Macaca fascicularis: one gene and its partners. The protein of the gene in region 2 purifies or fractionates together with the protein of the main gene of each other region. This does not show direct contact. Links are inferred from orthologs where the notes say so. Each region holds a gene or a part of one and is shown on either strand. Other genes may lie near its edges. The genes, in order: CUL4B, DCAF4L1 and CUL4A.

Evidence for each region.
Region 1: the proteins of DCAF4L1 (region 2) and CUL4B purify together in Homo sapiens (affinity purification with mass spectrometry; 3 studies listed by BioGRID and IntAct, counting the BioPlex papers as one, with this or other methods). This does not show direct contact. The link is inferred for Macaca fascicularis from reciprocal best matches to the Homo sapiens genes DCAF4L1 and CUL4B.
Region 3: the proteins of DCAF4L1 (region 2) and CUL4A purify together in Homo sapiens (affinity purification with mass spectrometry; 3 studies listed by BioGRID and IntAct, counting the BioPlex papers as one, with this or other methods). This does not show direct contact. The link is inferred for Macaca fascicularis from reciprocal best matches to the Homo sapiens genes DCAF4L1 and CUL4A.

What each region holds. Positions count from the first base shown.
Region 1 is NC_088395.1:126,817,949-126,821,597, forward strand, and holds part of CUL4B (cullin-4B), read right to left. Parts: intron 3,517-3,649; coding exon 3,354-3,516; intron 3,292-3,353; exon of another isoform or gene 3,188-3,291; intron 3,076-3,187; coding exon 2,986-3,075; intron 2,683-2,985; coding exon 2,600-2,682; intron 1,908-2,599; coding exon 1,840-1,907; intron 601-1,839; coding exon 482-600; intron 1-481.
Region 2 is NC_088379.1:41,327,327-41,331,641, reverse strand, and holds the start of DCAF4L1 (DDB1- and CUL4-associated factor 4-like protein 1), read right to left. Parts: upstream 2,857-4,315; 5' UTR 2,839-2,856; coding exon 1,648-2,838; 3' UTR 1-1,647.
Region 3 is NC_088391.1:103,648,837-103,652,485, reverse strand, and holds part of CUL4A (cullin-4A), read right to left. Parts: intron 3,009-3,649; coding exon 2,846-3,008; intron 2,317-2,845; coding exon 2,227-2,316; intron 1,159-2,226; exon of another isoform or gene 1,157-1,158; coding exon 1,074-1,156; intron 1-1,073. UniProt on the Homo sapiens protein: Core component of multiple cullin-RING-based E3 ubiquitin-protein ligase complexes which mediate the ubiquitination of target proteins. As a scaffold protein may contribute to catalysis through positioning of the substrate and the ubiquitin-conjugating enzyme.

The DNA of each region.
Region 1 (3,649 bases), on a different chromosome or scaffold from region 2:
GCCACATAGCTACCATTCTCAGGTTGACCTCAAAATTCCCATTACTTTTTAAAACAAATTTAAAATTCCCTTCAAATAATTGGATCAAGGCCAGGTGTGGTGGCTCACACCTGTAATCCCAGCACTTTGGGAGGCTGAGGCGGGTGGACCATTTGAGTTCAGGAGTTCAAGACCAGCTTGACCAACATGCTGAAACCCCATCTCTACTAAAAGTACAAAATTAGCCGGGCATGGTGGTGCATGCCTGTAATCCTAGCTACTTGGGAGACTGAGGCAGGAGAATCGCTTGAACCTGGAAGGCAGAGGTTGCAGTGAGCCGAGATTGCGCCACTGCACTCCAGCCTGGGTGACAAGAGCAAAACTCTGTCTCAAAAAAAAAAAAAAAAAAAAAAATGGATCGAACAAGAAATGCTTGCCAATATGCACTCTCGATGTGTAGATAAGCTGTAAGAGGGAAAAATCACAGGTAAATCGTTAATACCTTGATATATTCGATCCACTGCTGCAAAAGAACCTGAACTCCACCTCGAACTCTACTGAAGAGCTGATACAGAAGAGACAAATCTTGAATTCGGTTTTCATCAAGGAGGTTATTTAAACCTGTATTTTAAAACATTTTGGCATTAAAATATAGTGAACAAAAAAGTGAACAAGATTATCAGACATTTTAATAAAATTTGAGTTATAATCATTATTGTGATACTGGTTTGAACTATGACTAGTCTGTATGTGAGTTCTAAGATTTCCTTTGAATTAAACCCAATCATCTTTCTGGGTAAAAACTAAATATAGAGACTTTAGTCACTATAAAAATAAAAACAGGCCAGGCACGGTGGCTCATACCTGTAATCCCAGCACTTTGGGAAGCCAAGGCAGGAGGATCGATTGAGCCCAGGAGGTCAAGACCAGCCTGGGCACAATAGTAAGACCTCCCCCCACCTGTCTATTTTAATATAAAAAGTTAAAAAAATTAAAAAGAAAAAGAAAAATGGTTAACTCCATAATGGTTTGTGCCATTCAGCATGATAGAGGCAAAAACAAACTTATAAAAACTGGTTTACATAAATATACATTATAAATACCTCATATATGTAGTAGCCATATTATGTACATAGTTATATTTCAGAATATTAGATATGGCCTGTGATATATCAAAAGCCATGCATAAATTAAGTCAAATTTAAATGAGGCTCTAATAAATATTTGATTTTCAGGATGAAATAACAGTATAACTGCCTTAAATTTCTAAATATATAAATTTTTATACCAAAGAAAATATTGTTGAAGAGAAAGGTAAAGTTTTTACCTATTTGTGGCATTCTCAAAGTAAAATGCAGGGTATACTCCAAATTCACTTTGGATTAGAAGTGCTTGGTTTGACATGCCATTAACAATAACAAAAAACCCTCACCACTTTAGTGTAAAAAGGAATACCTTTCCTTACTGAAAGCTAACATATTAAGTCAAGAATTTCCCACTTTTTTTCTTTTCTTTTATTTAAAGAGACGAGAGTCTCACTATGTTGCCCAGGCTGACCTCAAACTCCTGGGCTGAAGTAATCCTCCTGCCTCAGCCTCCCAAGTAGTTGATACTACAGGCACATATCAACCACTGTTTTTTTATTGGTATTTGTGGATCCCTCTCTTCTAGTTCCTGTATTTTCAGATAAGAAAACTGGCACCTTCAGGAAGTTTACTGTGATTAATAAGGATTGTGTCCATCCTCAGAAATGCAGCCACATGCTGTCAAACTTTTAAAAGGGCAACATCTTTAAAAATTCCCTACTAGTTTGCCACTACCATTTAAAAAGCAATCTCTTATTTACAAATTGCCAATTACCTTTCTGAAGAATTGCTGTTAAGTGTTCACCTAGAAGTTGTTTTTCTACAGTAGCAATTAATGACTTCCTACGAGGAAAAAAAGTTAGCATTATTGATGTTTGACTTCCAGAAAATGTAAAGCCTCTCCTGAAGGGGGGGGGGGGGAATCAAATAGCTCATTTTATGTTAATTTCAAGATTCCTATCCTATGTATAAATTTATTGGTGCTCAGAGTTACTATACTTTACACCTAAAAGAAAAAAACATAAAGGAATAGACAGGCAAAAATTTTTAAAAACCACTGCATATTTTAGAATTTGGTTTACATCATGAAATAAATATCTCCAAGACCTTGTTGTAGTTGGTTTTTTCCAAGTTTTGCTACTTTTATTAGGAAGGTAAAGAAATACTACATACAGAAGCCCCCTGACTGACAATATTAACACTTAGGAAAGCACAAAAATGGGGGGATCCACTGAATTTTAATTGGCCTGAAGAGTTTAAAGATCACATCAGCCTCTAATATTATTTCTAAATTACATTCTAAACACACACACACACACACACACACACACACACACCCACCCACTCCTAATCGAATCCTTGGATGAAAACTAATTAATTAGGGAAAAGAATAACTTCAAGTTTATATTATGAAAACAACTGTTAACACTTCAAATCACACCTGAAAACAGTTACTAACATGTTTAGGATGGCTAAAGTGCTGCAAGTGATTTAACGACAGTTTAAGACTATTAAATTCAGCATGTAATACTTACTGGGTGGTCTGATCTAAGTAAGTAATAAGTCTGTCTGCTTCTTCTTCAAGACGTTTGTTAACATGATGTAGATATTCAGGAACCTACAAAGATAGTTTTTTATATTATTGTTTTCCTCCCCATAAATCACTCAGAAAATGTCAAGTCCAAAAGATCCTGGAAGCGGCCCTGTCAAATGTGACAGGGTAGAATCATATGTAAAAATTATAGGTAGAGTTTATGATCCAGAATTCTGGCCTTTAAGAAGAGAGAAAAGAAAGGAGCACCTAAGTGAGAGAAGAGCATCACAATGTTGGGAAGATAAATGCAAAGGGAAGCTTATATTCTACAAAGTAAGGTCTATTGTGAGAGACAGTGAGAATGTATTAGTCATGATTTTTAAATACCTCTCTTTCTTGCATTAATTTTTGGCCTTCAGCTGCATAGAGCCGGTTAGTTTCTTCCAAAAATCGTTGTTCAAAAGAATCTTGATAAATCTGGGAGGGGCAACAAAATGAAGGAGATCATTTATTTAGTAAATATTTACTAAATATTCTCTATGTCTATGTAAACAGCATTATGAATTTGGTTTTTAAACATCAAGCTAGGATCCTTTTGTAGTTTAGAAGCATGATGATTGGGTTTTTATGCTCATGTATGAGATGTGCTTCCTTCAGACATTGTTATGACATCAGCACATCACCTGTCTGACATCGGGAAAAAAAAACTAGGAAAAGCAATCAGCTCTGTATAGTATGTGTAGTAGTTAACTTACTTGCAAATCAGACAGCATGCTTAAAAGGCTTCGAAGTAAACTTCTATCAATTGCTTCACCATTCCTTTCCCTCTCAATCAAGAGAAGAATGCCATCAATTGTCTTATTCTGGACTTTCTGATCACTTATAATATGAGCCCTAAATAACTCCAGTCCCATGTCCCTAAAATAAAAAACACATATAACCTAAATTAATTGACAATACCACTTCTGAAGAGGTTTGCTTTACTTCTTACCACATGTTCCCATGCTAATTAGGGCTCCAGGGCTTTGAAGCAGCAATTGTCAAATAATAA
Region 2 (4,315 bases):
AGTAGATGTCTAAAACTCAGCATCATTCCCTTCACCTAAAGTTTTTTTCTCCTTATCCTCCCTAGGTTAGTAAACGACACCATCATCTACCAGTTCTAAAGTTAACAAAAAAAACTGTCATCCTCAGAGCTTGCAGTGAGCCGAGATCGCACCACTGCACTCCAGCCTGGGCGACAGAGCGAGACTCCGTCTCCAAAAAAAAAAAATTGCTGCCATCCTTTATTCTTTCACTTTCTAGTTTACTCTCATCAGCAAGTCTTACCAATAATACTACCTTCGAATGATCTTCCAATGCAATCATTTCTGATCATTTCTACTTCTCACATGCAGGTCCAAGGCATCACTGTCCCTTGCCTGACTAACTACAATAGTGTCCTAATTGCTTTCTTATTTTTATTTAAGAATAACATATATACAGTAAACTATAAAAATGTGAAGCATATAGCTATATGAATTATGTATTTATCAAGTGTCAAGATAAAGAAAACTCAGCATTCCTAAAGCTTCCCCATGTCACTTCTCAAGCATCCTAAAAAGAAAAAGAAAAAAAAAAAATCCTTTCTTTCTACAGAGGTATCTACTATTCTACCGTTAATCACCATAGACAAGTTTTTACTGCTTTTGAACTTCAGAATTGAACCATACAGTTTGTACTCATTTCTACCTAATTTCAATCACCATGTTGAGATTGGTCCATACTGTTTCACATAGCAAGTGTGCTTTATTTTCTATTATTATGCAGTATCCAATTGTATGATTATAGCACGAGTTTTAGCATTTTGGAAATTCAGATAATTTCCAGGCTTCGGCTATTAAGAAGTAGCAACTAACATTATTACATTTTTTTTTTCTTCCTTGCTTGGTAGAAAAACAGGCTCTTTAACATTTTTAATAAACCTCTCACAAACTGCTGCTCCTAGATTACAAAAAGTCAAAGCCAATTCCTTGAATCTGAACTTCAAGTCACCATAATAGAAACCGGAGCTGCTGCACCTTACATTCTGAAAGGTACTTCAACAAAAGCACATTAAAGACTGTTTAAAACTTCTCGTATTTAAGAAGATCCCTCTTTCCTTCCAATGCCTATGGATAATAATAAAAGGAGAATCTTAAGGGATCTGCTATTGAGTTTGAGAAATTTAATGATTCCAAACTGCAGCCTTAAATATTTCTGTAGAGACTCCGAGAAATTACCTCTCCCTTGTCTCCACTCCCACTGGCTTCCTCAAGCACAGATGCCTGGGACCCTTTGTGACTAGTCAGTCTTACTAGTACCATCATTATGCTTCTCTAAAGGGCTACTAGTGAAAGAAGCTGCTTTAATTTATTTTAGTTTTTGCCAATCTTCAGTCCTTAGAAAAGTCTTACAAAAAAAAAGGGTGGGGGAGATGGTTAACTGTTCTAAGGCATTCAACAAGAGGAAATAGGTATCTTTTATGAAAAGGACTTTCAAGTTAAGTCCAGTTTAACTGAAATAACTTTACGGAAAAGTCTCCACATAAAACTCTTAACACCTTACCCCTGGCAGCCGGATAGATGGGATCTATATATATCACGTCTCTTAAACTGCTCTCACAGAAACGGTAGTAAGATACTCTTAACTTCCTTAAGTCAAATCCACATTCGGCCGCGCTGCAACCTGCGGAATTAGCTGAAGGGGAAACAATAAAGGTCCTGCCGGACAGCCATGAGCAGCCCTGGTGCTGCTCCCCGGATGCCCCCGAGCCGAGAAGCGAAGGCCACGCTGGGAATGTCGTCCTCGGAGGCAGAATACGGGGAAGGGATGGTTCTGAGCAGGTGGGCATCATGGAGGCTCCAGATTCTCGTGTAGCAGTCCTGGCCCACTGCCACCACGATTCCCTCTTCCTCGTGCACATGCAGGGGCAGATAGGCGGACTCATTCACGTGACCTTCGTACTGCCTTAAACATTTAGTGGCCCTCAGATCCCACAGCTTGATCTTTCCAGTCATGTCTGACGCCATCAGGCATTGCTCTTCTTGGAGGATTTGCACAGAGGTCACTGCAGAGTCATGGAACAGGCGAGTGGCCCTCCACCCCTTGCCTCGATTTCTACAGCGCAGATCAATGGCAAAGATCTCCCCGGAGCGACAGCCATTAAACAGCAAAGGAGCCGTACTAGCAAATTGCTGGGCCAAGACATCACTGCTGGCACCAAACGACTGCTGGTGTCCCGTCGCCACGTTGGTCAACAGGACCTGCTGAGACAAGCCTGCACTAAAGCAGTGATATGCCCGGGTGTTGAGGGACCAGGCACAGGACCAGGCCTCAGGGATCTGGAAACTGCAGAGCATGCCAGGCTGGTTTACTCTTGTGTGAACACTTAAGAATCGCGACGCTGGGAGCAGCACCGCACAGCTTGGAGCATCTGTAATTCCCTCGAAGCACAGCAGAATGTGAGAGTCCAACTGGTTCAGCGAGGCCCAGCACAGGGACTTCACCTTCCGGTTGGGGACGTAGAGGTTTCTGAGCACGTACACGTGGAATGAAGGGATCTTCAGAGTTCGCAGGCTGATAATGCCGTACTTGGAGCCTTCGACTTCGACCTGGTTCACTACGAAGAGCTGGTCGCTGTTGGTACTCGCCAGAATGAAGTTAAATCGGTCGGTCGCCAAAGAGGAGGGATCCAAGCTCCGAATCTGGACTTTTTTTCTCTCCATGCAGCTCACACGCAGCTCGTTGGCTAAACGGGAGTAACTGGTGACGTTGAGGAAACCTAGCTGGCTTTTTCGGAGCATAGAAGATGCATTAAATCCCATTCTGGCTACCTTTTTCTGCTTGGCCTCCTCCTCGAGGAGTCGCAGCCTTTCCGCCTCCATTTCCTCCTGCGGACTGTTGCTCGTGACAGGAAATTCTTCAGGATGTTCTTTTCCGTGACAGGAAGTTCCGTCCGGGCGCGAACGGAAGTGTTGCTAATTTTTATCTCTGTATTCTGGGAGCAAGTCCTTTGTTGCAGATGTGTATTACAAGTCTCTTTTCCTACTCTGTGGGTTGTCATATTCTCTCAGTGGCGTCTTGACGAAAGTTCTTGATGTTAAATTTTTTCCTTTCTCTTTTTGAGACAGGGTCTTGCTCTTTCACCCAGGCTGGAGTCCAGTGGCCCGACCACGACTCACTGCAGCCTGGAACTCCTGGGCTCAAGTGATTCTCCTACTTCTGCCCTACCTAGCTGGGACTATGGGCTCGAGACACCACGCCCGGCTAATTTTTTTGTAAAGATGGGGTCTCCCTGCGTTGCTGATGCTGGTCTGAAACTCGAGCTCGAGCAGCCTGTCCGCCTCAGCCTCCCAAAGTGCTGGAATTACAAGCATGAGCCCACCGCGCCTTGCCTGTATTTCTTAATTTTTTATTTTTTATTTTGAGATGGAGTCTCGCTGTGTCACCCAGGCTGGAGTACAGTGGCGCGATCTCGGCTCACTGCAAGTTCCGCCTCTCGCGTTTCACGCCATTCTCCTGCCTCAGCCTCCCAAGTGGCTGGGACTACAGGTGCCCGCCACCATGCCTGGTTAATGTGTGTGTATTTTTAGTAGAGACGGGGTTTCACCATGTAGGTAGGATGGTCTCAATCTCCTGACCTCGTGATCCGCCCGCCTCAGCCTCCTAAAGTGCTGGGATTACAGGCTGAGCCACCGCGCCCGGCCGCCTGTATTTTTAAAATACAGTTAGAGACCAGAGGGGGCGGCGTGGTGAAACTTTGTCTCTGAAAAAGTACAAAAATTAGACCGGGCGCAGTGGCTCACGCCTGTAATCTCAGCACTTTGGGAGGCCGAGGCAGGTGGATCACGAGGTCAGGAGATCAAGACCATCCTGGCTAACACGGTGAAATCCCGTCTCCACTAAAAATACAAAAAATTAGGGGGGACTGGTGGCGGGCGCCTGTAGTCCCAGCTACTCGGGAGGCTGAGGCAGGAGAATGGCGTGAACCCGGGAGGCGGAGCTTGCAGTGAGCCGAGATTGTGCCACTGCATTCCAGCCTGGGCAACAGAGCGAGACTCTGTCTCAAAAAATAAATAAATAATTATACAAAAATTAGCGGGGCATGGTGCACACCTGTAGACCCAGCTACTCAGGAGACGGGAGGGAAAATCACCTGAGCCCAGAAGGTTGAGGCTGCAGTGATCACCCCACTGCACTCCAGCGAAGCCAGGAGACAGAATAAGACCCTGTCTCAAAAAGAAAGAAAAATAAGTAAATAAATTATGGATTTGTCCAAACTGTCAATTTGTTTCATTAATGGTATCTTTCGTGTTCTGTTCAGGACATTTGTACCTATTACATGATACTAGTAAAGTTTTG
Region 3 (3,649 bases), on a different chromosome or scaffold from region 2:
ACACGTCGGAGTGACCACATCTCTTCTGCGCGCTCTGTTTTCGTGCTGGATTCTGTCATAATCCTGCCTCTTTCCTTCATCCGGCCTGCCCCTTTCCTTACCTTGCTGAGTCCAGTTCTGCACATTGTATCATTTTCATCTCCCTTCCTGTTTTCTCTGCTGAGTCCTACCAAGTCCTGTTCTGCACATCTGTACATTTTATCATTCCCTACTGGGGCCCAGTTCTGCACACTGTATCATTTTCTTTTTCTTTTTTTTGAGATGGAGTCTCCCTCTGCTACCCAGGCTGGAGTGCAGTGGCGCGATCTTGGCTCACTGCAAGCTCCGCCTCCCGGATTCACGCCATTCTCCTGCCTCAGCCTCCCGTGTAGCTGGGACTACAGGCCCCCGCCACCATGCCCGGCTAATTTTTTGTATTTTTACTAGAGATGGGGTTTCACTGGGTTAGCCAGGATGATCTCGATCTCCTGACCTCGTGATCCACCCACCTCAGCCTCCCAAAGTGCTGGGATTACAGGTGTGAGCCACCACACCCGGCTGCACACTGTATCATTTTCACTTCTCTCCCTTGCTGTCCCCTCTGCCCCTGTTCTTGCCTCCCATCACACGGACATTCTGTGCCTGACACGCACACTCACATAATCTCAACCTTTTTGTTTCCCTAGCTACTCATCAACCTCAGGTTTGCAGGAAAAAAACATTAGAAGAAAAGAGAAAATTGTGTGACAGCACCATAAATAAAATTAAAGCGATATAAAATGAGTGCACAATCAAAATAGCCTAATATTCAGTGATACTCCGTTAACATAAATAGCCCATCTCAAAACTCAAAGATGCCAAGTATCTCAGCAAGATTTACTCCCTTTAGACAATAACTTATGACAAGGCACTAGATAAAAACTGTAATTTGTAAATGCCAAATAAGGACAAATGACAAAGTAAAATATGCTAGGTGCAAAAATACTCTTAGTGCTGAATGAAATGACAGAGACACCCTTTACTTCAATAACCAGCCAGGAGAACCCTCCAGCCGTGGTGAGGACATGAACGCTCGGTGAGCGATCGGTACTTACTGTGTGCCGTGGTCCAAGTAAGTGATCACTCTGTCTCCTTCTTCCTCTAAACGTTTACTTACATGGTTAAGATATTCTGGAACCTTCCAAACAAAACAAACGTATCAGTAACAAAAAGACTGTCAACATTATCCAAGAGATTGAAATTTTATTTTCCTTATATGCAATTTTTAAGAAAAGCAGAATATGTATTCAAGCCAAATATTAACACAGATTAACAGGGAGGGAGAGGTAGGATGCAAGTGTGTTGGGGGGACATGGAGAAAGGATCGAGATTAACATCCATCCTAGAACAGGGCCCAGGCTGCACTTCTCTTTCGTCCCTGCTCACCACTAAGTTTTGGGGTCTGTGCACACCCTCTCCCATCCCCAGGGCCCACAGGGAGCTGAGCAGCACTTGGTAGGAGGGTGAGGTGCTAAATGGCAACCCTGCCCCGCACAGATGGGTCAGCAAAAGCAAGTCAACAAGCTGGCTGTTCATCTGGGGACACCAAACAACATGGTGGCAGGAGACCTCAAAGTACACCTATGTTTCCCAAGACAGTGCAGGAAAGGCCTGAGGCTCTGCCGGGGTAGCTGCAGCCGGGCTCAGTATCTGACATGAAACTTCCTCTCCAAAGCCAGAATGAAGGAACCAATGGCCAGGGTCAATTCTGGGCAGCAGCACGTGCCATTTGGGTGACAGTCTATGGGGCAGGTTCCTTTATGATTTTGCTCTGGTATCTGGAAAAGTGGTTAAGTTTTTTTGGGTTCCTATTACTACTATATGTTTTTTCACATGGCTTTTTTTGGGAAAATTTTTTGCAGTGCTTCACACAAATAAAAAATTTTATCATTTGTATTTATTTTTCATTTTTAAGGTGTATGTTTTTATCATTTTGCTTAAATTTGAGTTATTTTACTTATTTCAGAAACGATCTGACAGATTTTTACTTGTGGGGGGAGGGCAATAGTTTCTAAGTTAACATAAACTAAATTCTTAGTATACTAAGAATGAAGTTCATTACTGGGGATTCTGGCAAGACTGCAGCTTTCAGAAGATTTTCAATGAAACATCTGTGTGTGTGTGAAAAGGCAAACACGAGGAAAGTCCTCCCAGATGCTCATCTGCAGAAACGAAGCCAGGGGATTCGGAAGCATCCGATCATCTCACCTCTCTTTCCTGCATTAACCTTTGGCCTTCGGCAGCATATAAGCAGTTAGTCTCTTCCAAAAATTTCAGTTCAAATGAATCTTTATACACCTAAGAAATGAGCAGAGTTATTGACCAATTTCAGTAAAGGAAACTACCTTTTCAAGGGCTAACAAATCCCAGTTTCTGACGGGGCAGGCTGCCATGACCTGAACTTGGAGCTGCCTGTGGCCACCCAGCCGGCCAGCTGCACTGTCCTTCCCAAAACGGCCAGGCAGACCCTCTTCTGTTCTTTTCCTACGGTGCCTTGGGGTCACATTGCACTAAAGAACTTCACCCTTTGTCTTTTGTGTGTGTTGCTAACATTCTCCCCGAGTATGTCATCTGGTTTTGTCTGTTTGTGGTATATTTTCCATGAAAAAGGCGCATTTTACATAGTGATATTGATCCATCTTCCCTTTTGTGGCACCTGGTGTGGTGTTGGCTTGAGAGCCATTCCCCTCCTAGGGATTTTAAAGACTCTTCTATCTTCAACAAACACTTTTATGATTTCATTGTTTAACATCTTTGGTACAACCATTTATTCTGGTGCAAGTAGCTGGGCAGGTACCCGGGTATCTTCTGCACAGGCAGCACTCACCTGCAGGTCGGACAGCATGCCCAGCAGGCTCCGCAGCAGGCTCCGGTCCACGGCCTCGCCGCTCCTCTCGTGCTCGATCAGCAGCAGGATTCCATCAATAGTTTTACTTTGAACCATTTTATCACTAATAATATGGGTTCTAAACAGTTCTAATCCCATATCCCTGTACAGACAGTAAGAAACAATACATTTTAGTTTCGCTTTTTAGAAGTTATGGGTGTTATCTCCAGCTATGCTACTCAATATCATCCAAAAAATGTGAAGTAGCTAATTCTCTACATCTAGGTGCCAACAATTTCTTTTTAAAAACTTCTGTTTTTCGGCCAGTCTAGTGTGCCTTGTCTGCTCCATGTCCCTGGAGATATTGCTAGGCCAAGCATGCCACTGACAACAAAATTGGTATCACATAATCTGCTGGCAGAAGCCCGGGGTTCTTGCCACCTTCCTGGTGAGTGACTGGAGATGCTCAGTCGGGTACCACGACCCTGCCTGCCCCACCTGCCCTGCCTGCCACCATCTGCAACAGCCCTCAGGGTACACTCTCTTCCCAATATCCTCTGCGGAGCACATCCCAGCAGCTTCCCTTCTCCAAGCCCTGGGAGCTCTCCTACCAAATGTTTGCTGCTTTCCCAAGAAGAGAAGGTGACACACGGCTTTCAGAGTTCATCGCAGTCCTCAGCTCACGGCCTGAGGAATGTTACGAAGATGTTTCAGCTGCCAGTGACTGTCCACAAAACCCATGTTGGGGGTTCCGTGCTTTGCTTCAACACTCCTGCTGCCCCCAATGGCCAAGTACTCCATTAA